5 linked regions of the Oryctolagus cuniculus genome follow. The protein of the gene in region 4 purifies or fractionates together with the protein of the main gene of each other region. This does not show direct contact. Links are inferred from orthologs where the notes say so. Each region holds a gene or a part of one and is shown on either strand. Other genes may lie near its edges.

Region 1 (3,695 bases), on a different chromosome or scaffold from region 4:
CTCTGGGTGGGGGTGGGGAAGGAGGGAGCCAGGCGCGGAGGTGGGAGGCGGGCGAGGGGAGGTGTGAGCACAGCATCTCACCTGGCCGGTCTTCTCCTTGTTGATGAGCAGGCGCGGGGTGGACAGGGGTGCCCTGGGGGGACGCGGGGCTCAGTGCTCAGGCTCTGTCCTGGCCCCGCCTCAGCGCCCAGCCCCGCCCCGCCCTGCACTGGCCCCCAACCTACTTGCCGATGAGGGACGCGAAGGGCTGCACCTGCAGGGAGGTGCCCATGACGATGAGCAGGTCCACCTTCAGGAAGTCCTGCAGGGGGGCAGCGGTGAGGGCCCCGGCCGCTGCCCAGGCTGGGCCGCTCTGCCCCGCGCGCCCCCTGCAACAGGGCCCCAGCCGCAGCCGGCCAGGCACTTACTGACTGCATGCAGGAGAAGAAGCGCGCCGGCAGGTTCTCTCCGAAAAATACGATGTCTGCCGCGGAGACGGGGGATGGTCACAGGCAGGAAGAGACGGGGGATACAGAGCAAGGACACGGAGCGGGGACAGGTAGCAGGAGAGGCCGGCTGAGGGCAGAGACGGCTGGGGGACAGACAGAACTGCCCCCTCCCCAGGATGCACAGGGCTGAGGGTGGAAGCGGGTGACCTATGGGAAGGGATGGGTGGGGGAAGGGGGAGGTGCCAGCTTGGGCAGCCCCAGCCCCGGCTCACCAGGCTTCACCACGCTCTGGCACTTCTCACACTTGGGAGTCACCTCCGAGAAGATCTTCTCTGGGCAGGGGAGAGCGGGGGAGAGAGGGCCGTGAGGGGCTGGCGCTGGGGGCTGCGGCACCAACACGCCCCTTGGGCCTGGGAGAACCTGGGGTGGGGTCTGCTCTGTTACAGGATATCTGGACTCCAGGGGGCTCTTCGAGGGCAGCCCTGGCTCCCCGGGGTCAGGGGGGCCTGGTGATTGCCAGGTTTGGCAACGGGGGGTGAGTGGGAGTGGAGGGAGAACCCCTGATGATGCGGGGACGGCGACAGAACCTGGGGACCGTGACGGAGCCCCTGGTGCAGCTGCCTTGGGACAATCCCACCCCTGTCAGGCTTGAATGCATTTTCTGTCCCTGGCAGCCCTCAGAACTCTAACTCATTCCTTCAGCCACTCATTCATTCTCCCAGCCCACACCAGCACAGTGCTGCGTGCACAAGACGCTGCGTTGTGGGTGACGCTCCCGGGGGGGGGGGTGATTGTACGCCGGCCCCCAGTCCCCCGCCACCAGCTGCACGCAGTGGCTGCGGTTCAGGAGCTCACGCCCGGGGGCAGTCAGCTGGCCACTTTTCAGCAGGGCCACCCTCCCGGGGGACTGCAGCTGTCGCTCTCACGTGGACACCGGCGGCTTTGTTAGCTGAGCATAAAGAATGCCAGAGACGCCTGTCCAGCCGCAGCAGGCGGCTCCTCAGCCAGCACAATGGACGTCGGCGACAGGCTCGCCCTGGCCGCGGGCTCGGGGGACTGGAGCTCTGGCCTCGTGTGAACTGGGACGGCAGCTCCCGCAACCCCGTGTGGCCCGTGCTCCTTCGTCCTGATGCACATCCACACCGGCTGTCACAAGCCGCGGCTTGTGTTTGCACCATGCACAATGGGCCCGCAAAGCCACATGCGACTTGAACAACTTCAGCGAACAAAAATGAAGCAGAACGAGCGATTCGGCTCCCAGGGGGCACCAGGCACGGAGCTCCACAGCCACAGGCTGCAAGGGGCTGCCATGCGGACTGCGCAGAAACGAGCCTTTCTCTTGTCCCAGAATGTTCCAGAGGTCAGGGCTGCTCTTCTCGGGAGGCAGGTGCGAAGGGCACCTGACCGGACCCAGAGCTGGGGTTTCGTGGCCTTGGGGACAGGCCACCTGCAGACCACGGTCTGCAGTTTGCACTCAGGAGGGCCTGGCCGACAGCAGCGTGCGCCACCACTTCCCACCAGTGGGGGCCACTACCACAGAGCCCAGCGCCCAGGAGGCCCTGTTCCCCGCCTCATGGAGCCCCCAGCCCCTCACCTTTCATCCAGTCCAGCGAGTACTCACGCCGGCACAGGGAGCTGATACAGTGTGATGTGTAGAAGGTACCATGGGCCTCCACCAGGTCCTCTGGCTCTAGCCCCGCCACGCGCTCCAGGGTGTCTATGTTCTGTGTGGGGGAGGCAGAGGGAGGAGGAGTCAGGAGAGAGCCCCCCTCCTCATGGGCCAGGAGGAGTCAGGAGAGAGCCACCCTCCTCACGGGCCAGGAGGTGGAGCCGGTGGCCTGGCGCAGCGGGTTAAACTGCCACTCTGGCGTCCTGGCTGCTCCACTTCCAACCCTGCTCCCTGCTCATGCACCTGGGAAGGCAGCAGAAGATGCCCAAGTGCTTGGGCCCCTATCATAGCATGTGGGAGACCCGGATGGATTCCAGCCTGGACCAGCACCAGCTGTGGGAAATGAACCAGTGGATGACAGATCTGTGTGTATGTGTGTGTGTGTGTGTGTCTCCCTCTCTTTGCCTTTCAAATAAATAAAATAAATCTTAAAAAAAGAAATAAATGGGCCGGCGCTGCGGCTCACTTGGCTAATCCTCCGCCTGAGGCTCCGGCACACCGGATTCTAGTCCCGGTTGGGGCACCAGATTCTGTTCCGGTTGCCCCTCTTCCAGGCCAGCTCTCTGCTGTGGCCAGGGAGTGCAGTGGAGGATGGCCCAAGTGCTTTGGCCCTGCACCTGCGTGGGAGACCAGGAGAAGCACCTGACTCCTGGCTTCCGGCGCACCGGCTGTAGCGGCCATCTGGGGGGTGAACCAATGGGAGGAGAACCTTTCTCTCTGTCTCTCTGTCTCTCTGACCATCTAACTCTGCCTGTCAAGAAAGAGAGAGAGAGAGAGAGAGAGAGAGAGAGAGAGAGAGGGAGAAAGAGAGAAATAAGGAGAGAAATAAGGAAAGAAATGTCGCTCCCCCTCTTCGTGGAGGAACGACACAGGACCCTGCGCTGTTCTTTCGTCTGCTCGGCCCTCCCCGGGTTTGCTGCTGGTTCTTCCCGGGTTGGCTACTATCCCTTCCACCTCTGTGGAAGGGCAGTTCCCCCTGGCCACATTCCCCACTTCCGCAGGGGAGCGGCACACCGCCGGCCGGCTTTCTCGGGGGCTGCACAGGTGTTCCTTCAGCTAGATGTTCCCCTTAGATGTTCCCGGTGCATGCCGTCTCTCTCCTCCTTTATAGTCCTCCTCCGCCAATCCCAACTCGGCTGCCCACACGCCGAGTACGCTGCTCTCCTCCAATCAGGAGCAAGTCCTACAGTTTATTAGTTGAACTGGAGGCAGCTGTGCGGAAGCTGTTTACTTCTCTCCCAGCGCCATATTGTGGGAGAGCAGATGCATAGAATAAGTCCTAATTCCAGTAACTCAGTCCAGTCCGGATTGCTCCCCACAAGAAAGAAGGAAAGAAAGAAGGAAAGAAAGAAGGAAAGAAAGAAGGAAAGAAAGAAAGAAAGAAAGAAAGAGAGAGAGAGAGAGAGAGAGAGAGAGAGAGAGAGAGAAAGGAAAGGAAAGGAAAGGAAAAGAAAAAAGAAAAGAAAAGAAAAGAAAAGAAAAGAAAAGAAAAGAAAAGAAAAGAAAAGAAAAGAAAAGAAAAGAAAAGAAAAGAAAAGAAAAGAAAAGAAATTAAACTAAACTGGAGCGGGAGTCGAGGCTACCTGAAGCCAGTGGAC
Region 2 (3,695 bases), on a different chromosome or scaffold from region 4:
ACAAAGTTCTGTTCGCTGGGCTTCTGCTCGAGGCTAACTTTCCCTGGAAGCCGTATCTGAGTACATCAGTCCACAGGGCCCTCTTCTGCCTCTCCACACCCCCGTCACGTGCTGCACCAGTGTCGGGCATCGCACTCCGTGTAAAGGATACAGAGTGGGGGGAAATCCGGTCTCTGTGCCACAGGTGTGCACAGGCAGACAGACGAGCAAACCAACCCGTGGGTGCAGAAGGAGGCTGCTACCAGAATGCAAAGGAGGGAGGCGAGAGGCTATGGGCAATCAGTCAGTGCTTCCTGGGGTGGTGATTGACAAGGGGACAGAGGGGAGACAGCTGGGGCAAGAGGAGGCACTGGGAGGGCAGAGCTGCAGCTAGGAGAGGGAATGCATCTTGGAGAACACCAGATGAGGCTGGAGTGACAGGCTGGGGCCAGATGTGAAGAGGCCTTGAATGCAGAGTGCAGTCAACAGGAACCCAGAGGAGTTTCAAACCAAAGAGTGACATCAGCAAGCGTGCAGGCTGGAAACCGTACTTGGGCAGCAGTGCGCCATGGCGAGAGAGGCCAGCCAGGAGACCAGGAACCCCTGAAGGCCACCAGTGGGCACAGCCGGGCGATGCTCTCTAGAACCAGCCAGGGCACTGTGTGCATCACTGCTCTGCTCCTCTCCTACCCACCCAGAACTTCCAGCGAACTGCCCACGAGTCAAGGCCTCCGCTGTCCAGGCCCCTTGAGGTCCTCTGAGAACAGGTCTGACTGCATCTCACAATTCCTGGCCCAACACACATGCTGAGGAATCACAACCTTTCCCGAGATACAGCCCCAGCCAAGTCACAGGGACGCTGTGCCTGGCCATGGCTGGCAGCTGGTCTCGGGGACAGGACACTGGAAACCCCCCCCAGGGATCTGATCATGGGAGAAAGGAAGCGGATGCATACTGAGCCCCTGCTATGTGTGGGCACCTCATTCACAGATCCGGGAGGAGGCAGTGCCGCCACCATCTCACTGATGTACGAAGGCCAGGCCGGGCACGGCAGCTCCGCCGAGGTCACAGAGCTCTCCAGCAGTGTCGACTGCAAAGGTCAAGCAGCGGCTACCTCTGCTCGGACAACGAGCAAGTGGGAAGCGCTAAGGGCAAGAGCTGGGGAATCAGACAATTTGACCCCACGCCTTTGTGTCTCTTGTTCACATAGAAAACGCGATTCTAATAACACCTATTTCATAGAATTAGCATGACAAGATCAAGGAGGTGAAAGTCCCTCTCGCACAGGAAAGAGCTCCTCAGATCACTCCTGCTCCGTTCAGCAGAGCTGCGCTGTGTGAGAGACCTGAGCCCTGGCTGCTGTCGGATCCACCTGTCCTGCCTGCTGTCCCCACGTGACCCCCGGGACTGGGCTTCGGTCATTCCTGGTTAGTCTTACTGCTGCTTACTCAGCTGCAGTTCTGAGAATTTTAATGAGAATTCAATCCTCCAACCTTACTTTACAAAGGGCCTCTTCTGAAAAAGAAAATGCTAATGTGGGAACATAAAAAGCTCTCAAAAAAGACAGGCTTGGCTAAGGGAAATTGGGCCATCAGGTAAGACCACTTTCCTCCACGGCTGCTGAAATTATTGTTACTGTGTAGCCGATGACATCTCAAAGATGCTTACTATATTCTTCTGCTCACTCAAAGACAAGTGCCAGACACTAGCAGACACAGATCCCTGAGGCAAGGGTCCTGCCCTCTGGGAACACACAGCCCAGCACAGCGCAGGAAGGAAGGCAGCCAAAGCCCTGGCTCTGTGACAGAGAATAGGAGAACAAGAGCAGAGTCCAGAGAGGGAGGGATCACACGGCCGCACCCCAGGGGAGGCTTGGTGACAGGGTTAGATTTCAGTAGAGACATTCGTAGGACTTTCCCTGGCACCGTATGTTTGGGAAAGATGACCCCACAGGAGCAAAAAGGGGAAAGTTCTGGGTATATTTGGTTTGCCTGCGGGTGGCAGGCGTCTGCTGAAACCCAGACAAGCTTAGCCACAGCAATGGTTTCAGGGGGCCGGAGCAGGAGACTAGGTGGGGCCGGGTCAATGAATGAGGCAATGATCGTGAGTCACTGAAAGAAAAGTGTCCCTAGTGGCATCAAGCGAGACAGGAAGCAAGGATTCCCACTGTCCAGAGCTGAACTAAGTCGAGGATGAGGAAACAGGAGGGACACTGAGACACCTTAACCACCAGTGGGAGGGAACCACAGCTCCCCTGAGCATAATGGGGTAGGAACCTCCGAAGGAGGAGTGAATGTGGGAGCCCAGGACAGGGCCGCAGGAAGAAAGCGACGTTCTAAGACATCGTCTGGGGAGCTAAGGGAATCTAATCGAGTCTGAAGTCGCAGTGATCTACAATAACATAAACTTCAAACTTTTTTTTTAACTGGATAAAAAAGTGACATTCAAAGTTTCTCTGACCTTTGTCCTTTGACCTTGGAAGAAATCACTGTAGTGTTTAAGCAAGGAGACTTGCACCGTGTTCTCATCATACTTGATTAAGAAGTAAGGCAGGGCCGTGACTCCTTCTCTTTGACAAAGATCATCATACGCACGCTTCAGGGCCTCTATCTGCAAATAGGAAACAGGAGGTTATTCTCTGGACAAACACTTGTCGTTCTGAGCTAAAACCTGACATGAAGCTGCCTTGAGGCCAGCAGAGTGGAAATGACCGATCGCACCTCTGCTCCTCTTCTGCAGCAAATGAACGTCAATGTGCACCCAGACACTGCGACACTGCCACGTAACTTCTACGCGACCCCTTTCAGGTGCACGGTGTGCACCTTAGACAGGGCCGCAGTGTGGTGGCTCCCGAGTCTGCCAACCACAGAGGGTCGGCGAGGAAACAGATGTTCCATCTCTCCTGCACTGGCCAGCATGAATGCCCCATGGGGCAACGTGACCGTGAGCCTCCCATGATCTTTAACAAGGAACCTTGCCGTGACCTTTACTGAGACACCACTCCAACGCCACACTGAAGTACACAACCTCATGAGTTTTTTAATCCAGTCACAGGGGTGTCACCATCAGAGTGACAGTTTCATAGCATTCTTCTTTTTTCCTACAAGGAAGCCCACACTCGCCAGCAGTCATTCTCCAAGCACGAGCATCCCTCACCCCCCTTCTCGTAGGATTTCTTCTCTGGAAATTAGTCCCACAAACCACAACCTTGGGTTTATACTAAAGAGCTTGTTCTTGGTTTTGCCTTCAAAACAGTCACAGGGGCCCCGGGCTTCAGCACTCAGCGTTGTAGTGATGCAGTCGTGGTGACGCTCAATCCTCGCCTGAACAGCTGTCGGAACGCTCGGGCTCGGGGTCTCAGCTCCGCAGCCTGATCGTGCCAGCTGCTCCTCTCCCATCACCTCCGAGGACCTCACCCTCCTTCCCAGTGAGATGGCACCCACTGGCTGTGCACGTGCCACTCCTGAGGGGGCAGTCCTGCCGCCGTGCACGAGGGCAGAGGGCAGAGGGCTGTGTGATTTCAGACGCTCTTCCCGCAGAACGATGCCTTAGGTTTCCCTCCACTCAGTGTGAAGACTCTGTTTTGGTAGATTCTTGCAGTCTTTCAAAGTGTCCCTGTAACCCTCCTTGCTGGCTTAGCATCTCACCAAACACCATGGAAACCTGGAAAACTCCTGCTGACTGCATCTGCAAAATGACCCTGTGAACATTCTGTC
Region 3 (3,695 bases), on a different chromosome or scaffold from region 4:
ACCTCTGCCCCACTGGCTCCCCAAAGTTGTCAGGGGATCTGAGCACAGGCCTTAGTGGATGCTGCCCCCTTCTGGAGACTGAGGGGAGCACTCTCTTCTCCTGATGGTTCATACCTCCTTCCAAGAATGCAGGTAGAAATTCTAGTCTGTAAGTTTTATCACCTGAGAGGTTTTAAAACACTGATAGAGGGGTGGGCTTTGTGGTTCAGCAGGTTAAGCTGTCGCTTGGGACAAATGCATCCCATATCAAAATCAAGTCCCACTTCTGTTTTTGATCCTGCTTCCTACTAATGCATACCGGGAGGCAACAGGTGATGGCTCAACTATACCATCCACATGGAAGACCTGGAAGAGTCTTGAGTTCCTGGCTTCTGGCTTTGGCTCAAGAAGTTGAGTCATTACCTCCAAAAGGAAGACTGGGGCTGAATTCCTAGCTCCTTGCTTTGGCCTGACACAGTCTGTCTACTGAAGGCATTTGCAGAGTGAACCAATAGGGGAGAGATCTCTGTATGTCTGCCTACCCCCCACACCCCTCTGTCTCACTGTTTTTCAAATAAATTAATTAATGCATCAAGTCCCAAATTTCCTACCTGGAGCAGCCACTTAGCAAAGTCTTCAGGGCAGATTCAGAGAATCCAGAACACCCACAAAGGTTTAGTCGCATTAAATTTGAGTTCTGTGCAAGATTACTGGAAAAAGAGAAAAAAGAGGAACAGTGGTAAGGCACTCACATCTGATCAATGGTGTTTAGAGGAAAACAGTTGGTACAGTCAGTGAACTGACCTTTGAGTCAGAAGTGAGTTTAGAGTTCACATTTCATTATCTTTGTGACACTAAGCAGGTGGCTTTTGTCTCAGTTTACTCACCTGTGAGATGGCAATATCAGTGCCTTCCAGGTAAGGTTATTAAATGATATAACGTAATAAAGGATTTAGCACAGTGCCTGGCACTAAGTCACAGGTGTACTTGTTAAATTAAAGAAAAAATCAATGTGATAAACATATCCATTTCACTTCCATGTGGAATCAGCTTATGGGCAAATTTGTACCCATAAAGCCACCAGTTTCTTTCAATTAAATGTCTCTTAAATTTGTCCTCTTCCACATTCCCAAACACCCTGTGTTAGTGAAACTTCATGATTGGGGTAAGAATTCTGGAATCATATTGCCAGATTCAAATATCGGTTTAGCCACCTACTAACTATGTGATCTTGTTATTCAGCCTGTGACTCAGTTTCCACATCTATAAAGAGGAAACAACAAAAACACATCAGGGGTTAGAATTAAATGAGAATGCATTTAAAGAACCTAGTGGAGGGGCCTGTGCTGTGGTGTAGTGAGTAATGCCACCACCTGCAACCCACATGGGTGCCAGTTCCACTCCTTTGCCTTTTCCACTTCTGATTCAGCTCCCTGCTGATGGTGCCTGGAAAAAGCAGCAGAGAATGGCCCAGGTGTTTGGGACCCTGCCACCCACGTGGGAGACCTGGACAAAGTTCCTGGCTCTCGGCTTCAGCCTGGCCCAGCCCTGGCTGTTGCGGCCATTTGGGGAGTGAACCAGCAGATGGAAGATCCTTCTCTCTAACTCTGGCTTTCAAAATAAATAAATAAATCTTTTAAAAAACAAAATAAAAAAGAACTTAGTGGAGGGGGTGTTTGAAAGTTAAAATGCATTTGGGATGCCCCGTTCCACATAAGAGTGCCTAGGTTCAAGTCCCAGTTCCACTCCTGATCCCAGCTTACAGCTAATTCACATACTGGGAAACAGCAGGTGATGGCTCAGTTAGCTGGGTCTCTGCCACCTATCTGGGAGATCTGGATTGAGTTCCTGGCTCCTGGGCATTTGAGGAGTGAACCAGTGGGTGGGAGGTCTCTCCTTCTCTTAAAATAACAAATAAAGAAAGAAAAATAAAGGACTTAGCATCTGGCATATAACAAGTAGTCAATAAATGTTAGTTGCTCTTGTTATACTTTTTCATATCAGGCTTCATCTTTCTTACCTGAATGAACAGTGTCCTAACTAGTCTAGTTTCTTCCATGTCTGCCACCCCACACTGCCTACCAGGTTCCTAAATTCACACTCTGACACAGCCCTCCCATTCTCACCATGCTTCCCGCTTCACAGCCCAGTCTGTGTGGCCCACATGCCCATTCTAATCACGCCGCCAACTCTGTACCTCTTGTCACTTCCAGCCCTGAGCACTGGGCTCCAGCAACTTCGAACTACTTAACAGAGTTCTGAGTCACACAGTCAGCTTTGCCCAGGCTGCTTCCTTTGTCCTATTACTTGGGGATCTCCTCCCTGAGTATCTTCAATCCTGAGCTGCAGAGTCACTTCCTCTGAGAAGGCTGCCCTCCTAAATTAAATTAGGTCTCCCTGTGGAGGCTGCTACATCATCACCCATGCATCCAGCGAACACACTGCACAAGTAATTATGTAATTACTTGTAATTACGTCCCTTTTACGAATGAGTCAAGGACCATGCCTTGTTCATCCTTGTATCTCTACAACTGAGGCCTGGAATATAACTAGCAGTTCAACTTTTGTTGCCTTGATGAGTCCTGCGAAGTTTTGCAGAAGCTGGAGTACTGCATTAGGTATTTTCTGTGTCCATCTGGATATGGGTAGATGGGCATTCAAGTCATATTCAAGGAACATTAATGCACATAAAAAACGATTGCCTTTGTGACATGCTCTGGCTACCACTCACTTGACGATGAGATCCGAAAGCTGTAGGCCTTCCAGGCTTAGGTTTTGCAACTTGGAGCACTGAGACAGAATGCCGTGAAGGGTAGACACGTTTATTACTGAGTTCGACAGGTCCATGTGCTGCACACGGAAAGAGCTGGACAACGAGAAGAAAGAGGCTCAATAAGGCTGCTCATGCAAGCACATTCAGACCAAATCTGGCCCCAGAGCTCACCAAATGAGCAGCTAATCAGACAGGACCCTAAATATGACAGCATTTCAACAAATCCATGGACAATGCAGTCAAAAGATAAGTTTAGGGGCAGGTGTTTGGCACAGCAGTTAAGACGCTGCTCCAGATGCCCACGTCCCCTTTCAGAGGGCCTGTGTTTGTGTGCTGGCTCCACTCCCAATTCCAGCTTCCTATTAATATGCATCCTGGGAGGCAGCTCAAGTGGTTGGGGCCTTGCCATCCATGTCGAAGACTTGGATGCAATTCCTGGTTTCTGGCGTTGGTTTAGCCCAGCTCCAGCTAATGGCAATATTTGGGGAGTGTACCAACAAACAGAAGACCTCTCTCTGTCTTATCTCTTATATAAATTAAACAACACTTAATATAAGTTTATTTTGGTGCAAATAATTTTGAGAGCCATGCATATAAATGGTCTACAAAAAGGAGGCGTTTAGCCTAGCAGCTAAGATGCTATGTCCCTTATTGAGGTACCTAGGTTTGATACCTGGCTCTGGTTTCTAACTCTAGCTTCCTGCTAATGTGACACTGGGAGGCAGTGCTGATGCCTCAAGTTATTAATACAGTTCTTGTCACTCGTCTGGGAAACCTGGATTGTTTTAGCCCAGTCCCAGATGGTGTATGAACCAGTGGAGGGGAACTCTCTGTCTCTGTCCTCTATATTTTAAATAATGATGGAGGGGCCAGTGTTGTGGCACAATGGGTTAAGCCACTGCCTGCAATGCTAGCATCCCATATGGGCGTCAGTTCAAGTGTT
Region 4 (4,354 bases):
TTAGAACAGTTCAGGTTTTTTTTTTTTTTTTCCTTAAAATACCCTTTTACTCAAACTGAAAATACACTTGCTGGAATCTGACTTGCACCAACTGATTCTTCATTACTCCTGAAACATCTACTCATCTGACAAACACAGACTACTCCCTCCCAAGGCCAGGCTCGGAGTTCCCTCTGGGAGCTGCCACTCAGCACATGGTCCCTACTCAGCACTTAATAGCTCTCCTAAAGACAATTTTAAAATACAAAATTATACCTGCATCTTTAAAAAAAAAATGTTAAAACAAGAACTTAAGAAAATGGTTAAGGGGGTGATATGACCTTAGAGTTTACATACATATAAAGTCTAAGCCTTAAAAAGTTCTAAGTTATATTCCTAGTGTCAGAATACCTTGACAATGCCTTGAGAGGCAAACTAAAAATATCCTGAAACACTGCCCTTATCTTTAAAGAAAGCTACTCCAGCAAGTTGAAGTAAGTTGTATCCATTTCCAAGGACGTGAAAGAATGGCTAAGTACACACAGTACTCTGAATGTCAAAAAAAAAATTTAATTGCAAATGCTTTTTAATAGCTTAAATAGAATTGATAGATGAGCAAATCAGTCAAGTACTTAAATTCCAATACTAAGTGAAATTGGATTTGACAATCTTCATTTTGTGACTGAGAACACAAGATACAAGGAGCCTACAGCAAGAAGGCACTTTACTTTTACGAACCACTTGGCAAAACTGCACGTAATGCCTACTAATGAGGTTATAAGTGATACTTTTACTCTTAAACACTGTTAGGAAAAATAAAGTCCTGACTCCTTCTCCAAGGAACCTCAATAAGATGTGAGGAAGCTGACCTTTCTGACACATTAACCACAGAACCGACAGGGTATGTGAGCCAGTCGCTGTAACGCTCGCGCGGGGAAGACCACTCCGTGTTACGCCGTACAGTCACGCTAAGGGGCCAGGCGAGGCGAGAAAGGGGTCTGATTCAAGCAGCGAGTCTTTTCACATCCAAAACCGTGAGAAACTGTCGGCTTTCGGGGGCCCGCGCCGAGCGCGTCCTCCCGCGGCCTTCAAGGCGGGGAAGGGATGCGCCAGCCACCCCCCACCCGAGTCTTTGCCAGCCTCGCTCAGGATGTCCTGCCGTGGCCCGGACGCGCACCTCCTCTGCGACTTCCCCGGCCGCAAGGGTCACAAAACCCCCTGCGTCGGCCCTCACCGGCGCACCAGCGCTTCATAACACTGAGGTGGCGAGGCCAAGAAAAGGCGCGCGGGCGCGCACACACACACCCACCCTGGCCTGCCTCCGTGTTTCTAATTATTAGCCTCACACCGTGGCCAAGCCCATGTTTGGGGCGCTTCCCTGCGTGGACCGGGGCCGGCCCGCCGCGCTGGCCCTTTAAAGGCGCTCGCTTCCTGCGCCCGCGGCCCCTCCCCAGCCGCCGCCGGCGCCCGCCCCCGCCGAGGGTCACACTTGAACTTAGCTCGCCCCGCGCGGCCGGGCGCCGGCGCTCCGCAGGCGGTGGCCGCCCCTTCGCACGTGTCGGAGGCGCTCCCTCGGGCTCGGCGCGCCTGGACCCCAGCACCCGAGGCCACCCGGGATAAAACCAAAACAAAGCCAAAAGCGCATCGGCCTCCAGAAGTGGCGCGGCCGACCCCGCACCGTCCCAAGGCTGTCCCCTCCACCTGCAGCCGTGCCCCCCGGGTTTGGGTGCCCCCCTCGCCGCCCCCTCCACCGCTCGGCGCGGCGGAAACGGCCCCGCGCTGCGAGGGCGGAGAGGAGCCGCCCTCCCCGCCGGAGGTCCGGGAGGCAAAAGGGGCAGCCGCTCCGCGTGAAACCTTCTCTCTCTGACTGGCAAACTTTCCTGCCCGCTCTGACGCCCAGTTCCTGACGCACTTTCTTCACGCCTCAGTTCCCCCCCAACACGCCCCTGTGCCTGTCCCACCGCAACTCTGCGGCGCGCGCGCGCCTCCCCTCCGCCCGGGCAAGCCCCCGCACCTGCCACTTCCCACCCGCCCTCGGCCGCCCGCGCGACCCGCCCAGCCACCCCCGCACCTGCCCCACCGCGCCCCGGTCCGGCCGCTCACCTTCCAGCCCGCCGAGCTGTTGCTATCGCCCTTATCCTTGAAGTAGGGCACGCTCTTGACCATCCACTCGTAGATCTGAGACAGCGTGAGCCGCTTCTCGGCCGAGCTCTCGATGGCCTTGGTGATGAGGTCGGCGTAGGACAGGTTGCCCCACGCGTTGCGGCGGGACGAGCTGCTCTTGCGCGGCTGCCCAGCGAGCGGCCCAGCAGCCGCGGGGGGTACAGGCGGGTGCTGTGACAGTGGCCCGGGCGCCGGGGGCTGCGGCGGCGCCGGGTGCAGGCAGCCCGCCGCCTCTGCGCCCTGGAAGTCCCCGCACAGTCCCCCGGTGGCAGCCGCCGCGGCCGCCGCCACCGCCGCCGCCGCCGCTGCGGCCGCCGCCACGGAGCCGGGCGCCTGCGGGAAGTCCTCGCTCTCCTCCAGCAGGCTCAGGTTGCTCATGAAGTCGGCGTTGACAGCGGCCGCCGAGGCTGGGGGCAGGCCCGCCGCGGCGTCGGGGTTGGCGGCCGCGCCGCCCGACGGCGCCGGGCTGGAGGTGGCCGAGTTGGACTGGCTAAACTCCGGCCTGGGCAGCGGCCAGGTGCACGAGCGCGGCCGGGGCAGCGGCTCGAAGTCCGGGTCGATCTCCACCACCTGAGGCGCTTCGGCCATGGTGACCCCCGCCCCTCCCCCAGCCGCCGGAGAGCCGAGAAGGGGGGGAGCGCAGCGCGGAGCGGAGGGGGCGCAAAGGCTGGCCCGAGATCCTGGGGGGATGGGGGGAGGACGAAGTCAGTGCCGCGAGCTGACGGAAACCGGGAGGAAGGAGCAGCGGAGTAGCCGCGCGAGCCCAGAACTTAACTTCGTGGGTCCATCAACATCCAAGGCTGCTCCGGGTTCGCTGCACCACCAGGACGGCTGGCCAGAGCCGGGCAGCTCCAGGGCCGCGCTCCTGCTGACAGGGCCACGGACGGACGGACGGACGGACGGACACCGCGGGCCGCTCGCTCTCGCCGGCGGCGCGAGCGCGGCGCAGCTGCCTGTTGAATGCGCTGGAGGCGGCGGCGGCGGCGGCGGCGGCAGCAGCAACTACGCGGCTGCCCGACTTACGGGATCTGCCACCGCCCCCCGCCCGCGGCGGCGCGCGCGCCGGCCCGCCCCCGATTGACAGCCCGCGCAGCCAATGGGCGCGCGGCACCGCCGCCCAAGCAGCCAGTGGGAGAGGGCTGGGGAGGGGCCCGGTTTTCCACGAGGAGGCGGCTGTGGGTTGGTAGGGGGGTAGTGGGGTGTTTTTCTCGTTGGCGCACACGCACGTTCTCTCTCTTTTTGTGATTATTTTCTGGTAATTCTCGAGTATTTCTGCGAGTCTCTCGCCCTCTTACTGTTTTGACTGCTGAGAGGCAAACCAACGTGGAGGCGGCGGCGACACTTTGTTTACTACGGGGGAGCCGAGCCGTGGACTGGCGAAGCCCGAGCGGAACGAGCGGCTGCCGTGGCCCCGACCTCCGCTCGGCGCCCAGACCAGGGCAGGGCAGGGCAGGGCGCGGGGCGGGGCGGGGTGGAGGCGGCCGCGCGGAATTCCACTCGGTCGCCCCCTCTCCGCTCCACCCACGCGGTCCGCGCGGCGCGGTGCGGGGAAGTCGGCAGGGTTTGTTTTCGTGCAGCGTTTTCTTTCGCTGCGCTCGGTCAAGTCCTCCTGCCCCCGCTCGGGCCGCACACGCCTCCCCGTCCCCACCCCGGGAGACCGTGGGCCTTGTGGTCGGGTCCCTGCCGGCACGGGACGCCAGCCGCGCCGCCCCCGCGCCGGAACCCACCTGCGCGCGCCGCCCCCGGGGCTGGTCGTCCGGCCCGAATTCTGCCATTGTTGACCTAAAAGGGCAGAAATGAGGGAAAGGGCTGGGCAAGCACAGGGTCCCTGGGTCTCCTATCCTCTGGGACACTCTGCCCTAGCGCGCCAGCCTTGCACTGTCCACCGGGCCAGCGGTGGCCGCGGCGAAGGGTCGGCAGAGCAAGTTCGCGAGCACTTTGTCCATTTATTCCTTGCCCGTAATTAAGTGTAACAGTTGGCTTACTTCCTTTTTTATTTAGAAGTGATGAAGTGTTGAGTAAAAACGCGAGAGGGGCTGAGACCGAAGCCTTGACCACAGCGCTGCCCCACCCCCAGGTTGTGGGGCTGCCCGCTGCGTCCATCAGTCACTCCCACCCCACCTCCCCACCTTGCTCCATCTGGGCTCCAGGTCCGGGACGTCCTGTCCGGGAGCAGTGGGGCCAAAGGTGGAAACACAATTACCCTTGTGTC
Region 5 (4,161 bases), on a different chromosome or scaffold from region 4:
TCTTTTTGAAGCTAAAGCAACAGAGCTTGAGTTGCTTGCCTAAGGTCATGCAGGTATCGGTGCAATATATCCAGGACCCATAGTCAGTTTAAGGAATGGTGTGCTATGAACGCTGAGAAGTTCTTTAAGTGACTAGAAATGCTGCAGGCAGATGCCACGCAAAGCATAGGTCCTTAGTTATGGCTGTAAAGTAACAATTTTCCAGGGCAAGTGGAAAGTGGTGGAGTTTCCAGTGGGGAAGCAACTCTGGTTTTTGAACTACTATGTACCTTTTAAATATAGCTAGCTTATTTAATTTTCATAACCCTGCAAAATAGGTATTATGAGAAAAAATTGGATTTAGAAAAGGCTAACTTGCTCGGTATACAAGAATCCCAAATTTAAAGCAAACCCAGAGATGGGGAGTGGCCGAGCCTTGTTCTCGACTGCCCGACTTGACCCAATGCAATCACTACACCTGAGAACACCGGGGCCCACAGGTAGGAACGCACACACATTTGAGTACAAGTTACGGACCGAAAGCTGATAGGCTGACTCCCAAGTTCCCAGGTCAAAGGACCTAGGACGGGGACACACGCCTGTGAGGATCTGACAATCTCGCCCCACAAGTGAGGGCGACAGGGCACAAGAGCCAATCACTGAAGGGGAGGGCCAAGCAAAGGAGCTGAAGAAGGGCTGTCAGAATGGCGCGGGGGCGGCAGAGCGCCTTGTTCTTTCCTCCCCACTGACAAAAGCCCAACGGCTACCCAGCGTTATTTCAAGGAGCGAAGCTTCAGTCCTCATCGCCTCTCAGGAGCCCAACTTTAACCCTTAGCTAAAAATGCAGACAGGGCTAGGCAGGGAAGGTGTGCGCTGGAGGCAGAAGTGGAAACTCCGTGAACCAAAACGTGTGCCTTCCGGACGGTCCTGAGTTCAGGACGCTTCCAAACAGAAGTTCAAAAGCGGCCGCCGAGCGAGCGTGCAAGACACGCCCGCCACTGAGGGGAGGGGCCTCAGGCCGCCCGAGCCGCGTTTCCTCCCCGCCCGAGCAGAGAGGGAGACGCCCGGGCCTCCGCCCGCCACGTGACCGGCCGTGTTGTGGTTCGGCCCGCGTGGGTGGCGGGAGCGGCGGGAGGGCGGGGGCGGGGGCGGAGGCAGGTCACGTGACGGGGTTTAAATCTCCCGCAGCCGGAGCCGCGGGGGCGCCAGTGCCGCGCGTCGAGCGGGAGCAGAGGAGGCGAGGAAGGAGGGCCAGAGAGGCAGTTGGAAGATGGCGGACGAGGCGGCGCTCGCCCTTCAGCCTGGCGGCTCCCCGTCGGCTGCGGCGGCCGAGAGGGAGGCCGCTTCGCCGCCTGCTGGAGAGCCGCTCCGCAAGAGGCCGCGGAGAGACGGCCCTGGCCTCGGGTGGAGCCCGGGCGAGTCCGGCGGGCCGGCCCCCGAGCGTGAGGTGCCGGCGGCGGCGGCGGCGGCGGCCGGGAGCTGCCCGGCTGTGGCGGCGGCGCTGTGGCGGGAGGCGGAGGCGGCGACGGCGACGGGCGGGGAGCGAGAGGCCCAGGCTATGGTAGCGGCCGGAGGAGACAATGGGCCTGGCCTGCAGGGCCTACCCCGGGAGCCGCCGCCGGCCGACGATTTCTGCGAAGACGAAGACGACGACGACGAGGGCGAAGAGGAGGAAGAGGCGGCGGCGGGGATTGGGTACAGAGGTGCGCAGGGCGCGGGCGGCCGGGACTGCGCATCCCCCTCCTCCTCCTCTCGGGGCCCCTCCTAGTGTCCGGTTGGGGGGGGGGTCTCTAGGGCGGGCCGGGGGTTCCGGGCTGGCTCGCGGGATCCTCTCCCCATGGCGGCCCTCCGTTCAGCCGCGCTGCTCCCGGGCTGCCGGCCGTGCGGTGGGGAGCTGCGCGCGGACTTGCTCCTTGTCTTCCCTCGGTCCGCGGCCCCTCTCGGCGGCCTTGCGGCGTTCGACGCAGCCGCCGGGTGTGGACGCTGTCTCCCTTGGCTTTACAAATAAGTTTTCTCTCTTCTAGTATTGCTTTCGTTGAACTTACTTTGCTCTCCTCCTCCTTCACCAGCACACTTAAAGTCTGCAACTTTCGGCCGTCCCGTTGGTCGACCTTTCGCAGTTGCCCGTGCAAACTGACACCTGTGCCATTTATTTATTTATTTGACGATCTGTACTTTTAAACTTGTAGTTATAAATTTGGAAAGAGCAAAGCGGCTTTCTGAGGTCTTAACCTGAAAACTTTAAAAGCATAGTTTCTAAAGCAGTCTTTTGTGATGCGTTTAGTGGGGATCGCATAATGAAGTACTTTCAGAGTGCTTTATATTAATATTGTGGTTGAGTCGTGTTCTGAAGTGGTTTTAAGCTAAATGGGATTCTTCTGTATATATGTGATCCTGAAGCAGGTTGACATGTTTTTGACATACTGAAGTACATGTCTTGTCCTTGAGGGTTTCATAGTTTGACTTGAGAAGTTTCTGTGTCTGTCAGTACTGTGTCGGAACTAGCCAGTGGAGCATTTAGTAGCCACATGGAAAAAAAAAAATGTGTAGTGTATACATCAGGGACTGCACAGGTGAAGCAGCTCCTGATTTCAAGAAACAAAATTCCTTCCTCCTTCAGGTAAATTTGGCAAATATTAAATTTCTTTGTGATTCAGTCTGCTGAACTAAGGAACCATCATAGTATTTAGAAGCACAATAAATGGGAGAAACAGATAATGCAGAAATAGCTAAGTATGTTTAGTAGTATATAAAAGCCCAGAGTGCAGGCAGCCTTGGTTTTCACAACGTTGGTGGGTAAATTTTGACAACTTGCATGTACTCCTTTGCTTGTATGATTGCTAAGCTCAGTCTATAGAGACTACCTCTTATTCTGTTTTGACTTTTTAAAAAGTAGACTCAGATTTTTGATAGACTGAAGCTTTGAATTCTGCAAAGGATCTCTTGAGGATCAGAGAACTGCTCTTGTGAATGTTGACCACCTTTACACATGCGGGATGTATGTTAAATGCTTTAGTCATTAAAAATGGTTGCTTTGTGACCACTGATGAGTCTTCTTGCATTTCAGATGCAGGCTGTCAGCAGCCTTAATGTTGATTTCTTTTGCAGATAATCTCTTGTTCGGTGATGAAATTATCACTAATGGCTTTCACTCATGTGAAAGCGATGACGACGACAGAGCCTCACATGCAAGCTCTAGTGACTGGACTCCAAGGCCACGGATAGGTATGGTTCAGAGCTGTGCCCCTCCCCCCATTTTCCCTCTGTCCCTTTAATAGATTGAAGTTTTTAGGTACATGGAGAGATTTAATAACAACTTATATTTCTAAGAAAAATCTAGTGCTCTTAAGTACAAAAATTGTACGTATTTATGGGGTACCATTTGATGTTTTGACACATTATAGATTGTGTAACATCTAAATTAGAGTAAACATCCCTGTCTCATACATCATCTTGTTATTGTGAAATCATTCAAAATCTTTTTTGCTATTTTTTTTAAAGAAAAATAAAGGGGTAAGCATAGAGGTTAATATGCTAGTTGGGTCTCCTGGATCCTATATCTGAGTGCCTACTTTGAAGTCCTGCTTTGCTACTGATTCCAGCTTCTTGGTAATGGACAGTGTTGGAGTTGGTGGATAGTGGTTCCAGTGGCTGGGTTCCTACTACCCCTGTAAAAGACTTGGATTGAGTTCTTGACTCCTGGCTTCTGCGTGGCCCAGCCCAGCTATTGTGGCTGTTTGGGGACTGAAACGGCAGAGGGGAGCTGTCACTCACATCCGCTTTCTTGCTCTCTTGTGCTCTCACTCCACCTTTTTAAATAAAGAACATAATTTTTTAAAAATTAAATAAAACACACAATGCATTTTCTTTTTTTTTTTTTTTTTAAGACTTATTTACTTACTTGAAAGTCGGAGTTACACAGAGACGGAGAGAGGTCTTCCATCCGCTGGTTTACTCCCCAGATAGCTGCAACAACTGGAGCTGTGCCGATCCGGAGCCAGGAGCTTCTTCTGGGTCTCCCACATGGGTGCAGGGGCCCAAGGACTTGGGCCATCTTCTGCTGCTATCCCAGGCCACAGCAGAGAGCTGGATCAGAAGTGGAGCAGCCGGGACTTGAACCGGTGCCCATATGGGATGCCAGCACAGCAGGCAACGGCTTTACCCGCTATGCCACAGCGCCAC

What was found.
Region 1: the proteins of FOXO1 (region 4) and SIRT2 purify together in Homo sapiens (affinity purification with western blotting; 3 studies listed by BioGRID). This does not show direct contact. The link is inferred for Oryctolagus cuniculus from reciprocal best matches to the Homo sapiens genes FOXO1 and SIRT2.
Region 2: the proteins of FOXO1 (region 4) and ATG7 purify together in Homo sapiens (affinity purification with western blotting; 4 studies listed by BioGRID). This does not show direct contact. The link is inferred for Oryctolagus cuniculus from reciprocal best matches to the Homo sapiens genes FOXO1 and ATG7.
Region 3: the proteins of FOXO1 (region 4) and SKP2 purify together in Homo sapiens (affinity purification with western blotting; 4 studies listed by BioGRID). This does not show direct contact. The link is inferred for Oryctolagus cuniculus from reciprocal best matches to the Homo sapiens genes FOXO1 and SKP2.
Region 5: the proteins of FOXO1 (region 4) and SIRT1 purify together in Homo sapiens (affinity purification with western blotting; 5 studies listed by BioGRID and IntAct, with this or other methods). This does not show direct contact. The link is inferred for Oryctolagus cuniculus from reciprocal best matches to the Homo sapiens genes FOXO1 and SIRT1.

What each region holds. Positions count from the first base shown.
Region 1 is NC_091449.1:15,878,319-15,882,013, reverse strand, and holds part of SIRT2 (NAD-dependent protein deacetylase sirtuin-2), read right to left. Parts: intron 2,153-3,695; coding exon 2,023-2,152; intron 761-2,022; coding exon 701-760; intron 464-700; coding exon 408-463; intron 302-407; coding exon 225-301; intron 134-224; coding exon 82-133; intron 1-81. UniProt on the Homo sapiens protein: NAD-dependent protein deacetylase, which deacetylates internal lysines on histone and alpha-tubulin as well as many other proteins such as key transcription factors.
Region 2 is NC_091441.1:115,793,285-115,796,979, forward strand, and holds part of ATG7 (ubiquitin-like modifier-activating enzyme ATG7), read right to left. Parts: intron 2,590-3,695; coding exon 2,440-2,589; intron 1-2,439. UniProt on the Homo sapiens protein: E1-like activating enzyme involved in the 2 ubiquitin-like systems required for cytoplasm to vacuole transport (Cvt) and autophagy.
Region 3 is NC_091445.1:61,730,360-61,734,054, reverse strand, and holds part of SKP2 (S-phase kinase-associated protein 2), read right to left. Parts: intron 2,846-3,695; coding exon 2,711-2,845; intron 690-2,710; coding exon 591-689; intron 1-590. UniProt on the Homo sapiens protein: Substrate recognition component of a SCF (SKP1-CUL1-F-box protein) E3 ubiquitin-protein ligase complex which mediates the ubiquitination and subsequent proteasomal degradation of target proteins involved in cell cycle progression, signal transduction and transcription.
Region 4 is NC_091440.1:72,837,599-72,841,952, reverse strand, and holds the start of FOXO1 (forkhead box protein O1), read right to left. Parts: upstream 2,867-4,354; 5' UTR 2,731-2,866; coding exon 2,083-2,730; intron 1-2,082. UniProt on the Homo sapiens protein: Transcription factor that is the main target of insulin signaling and regulates metabolic homeostasis in response to oxidative stress.
Region 5 is NC_091446.1:59,833,039-59,837,199, forward strand, and holds the start of SIRT1 (NAD-dependent protein deacetylase sirtuin-1), read left to right. Parts: upstream 1-1,173; 5' UTR 1,174-1,249; coding exon 1,250-1,682; intron 1,683-2,597; exon of another isoform or gene 2,598-2,665; intron 2,666-3,087; coding exon 3,088-3,204; intron 3,205-4,161. UniProt on the Homo sapiens protein: NAD-dependent protein deacetylase that links transcriptional regulation directly to intracellular energetics and participates in the coordination of several separated cellular functions such as cell cycle, response to DNA damage, metabolism, apoptosis and autophagy.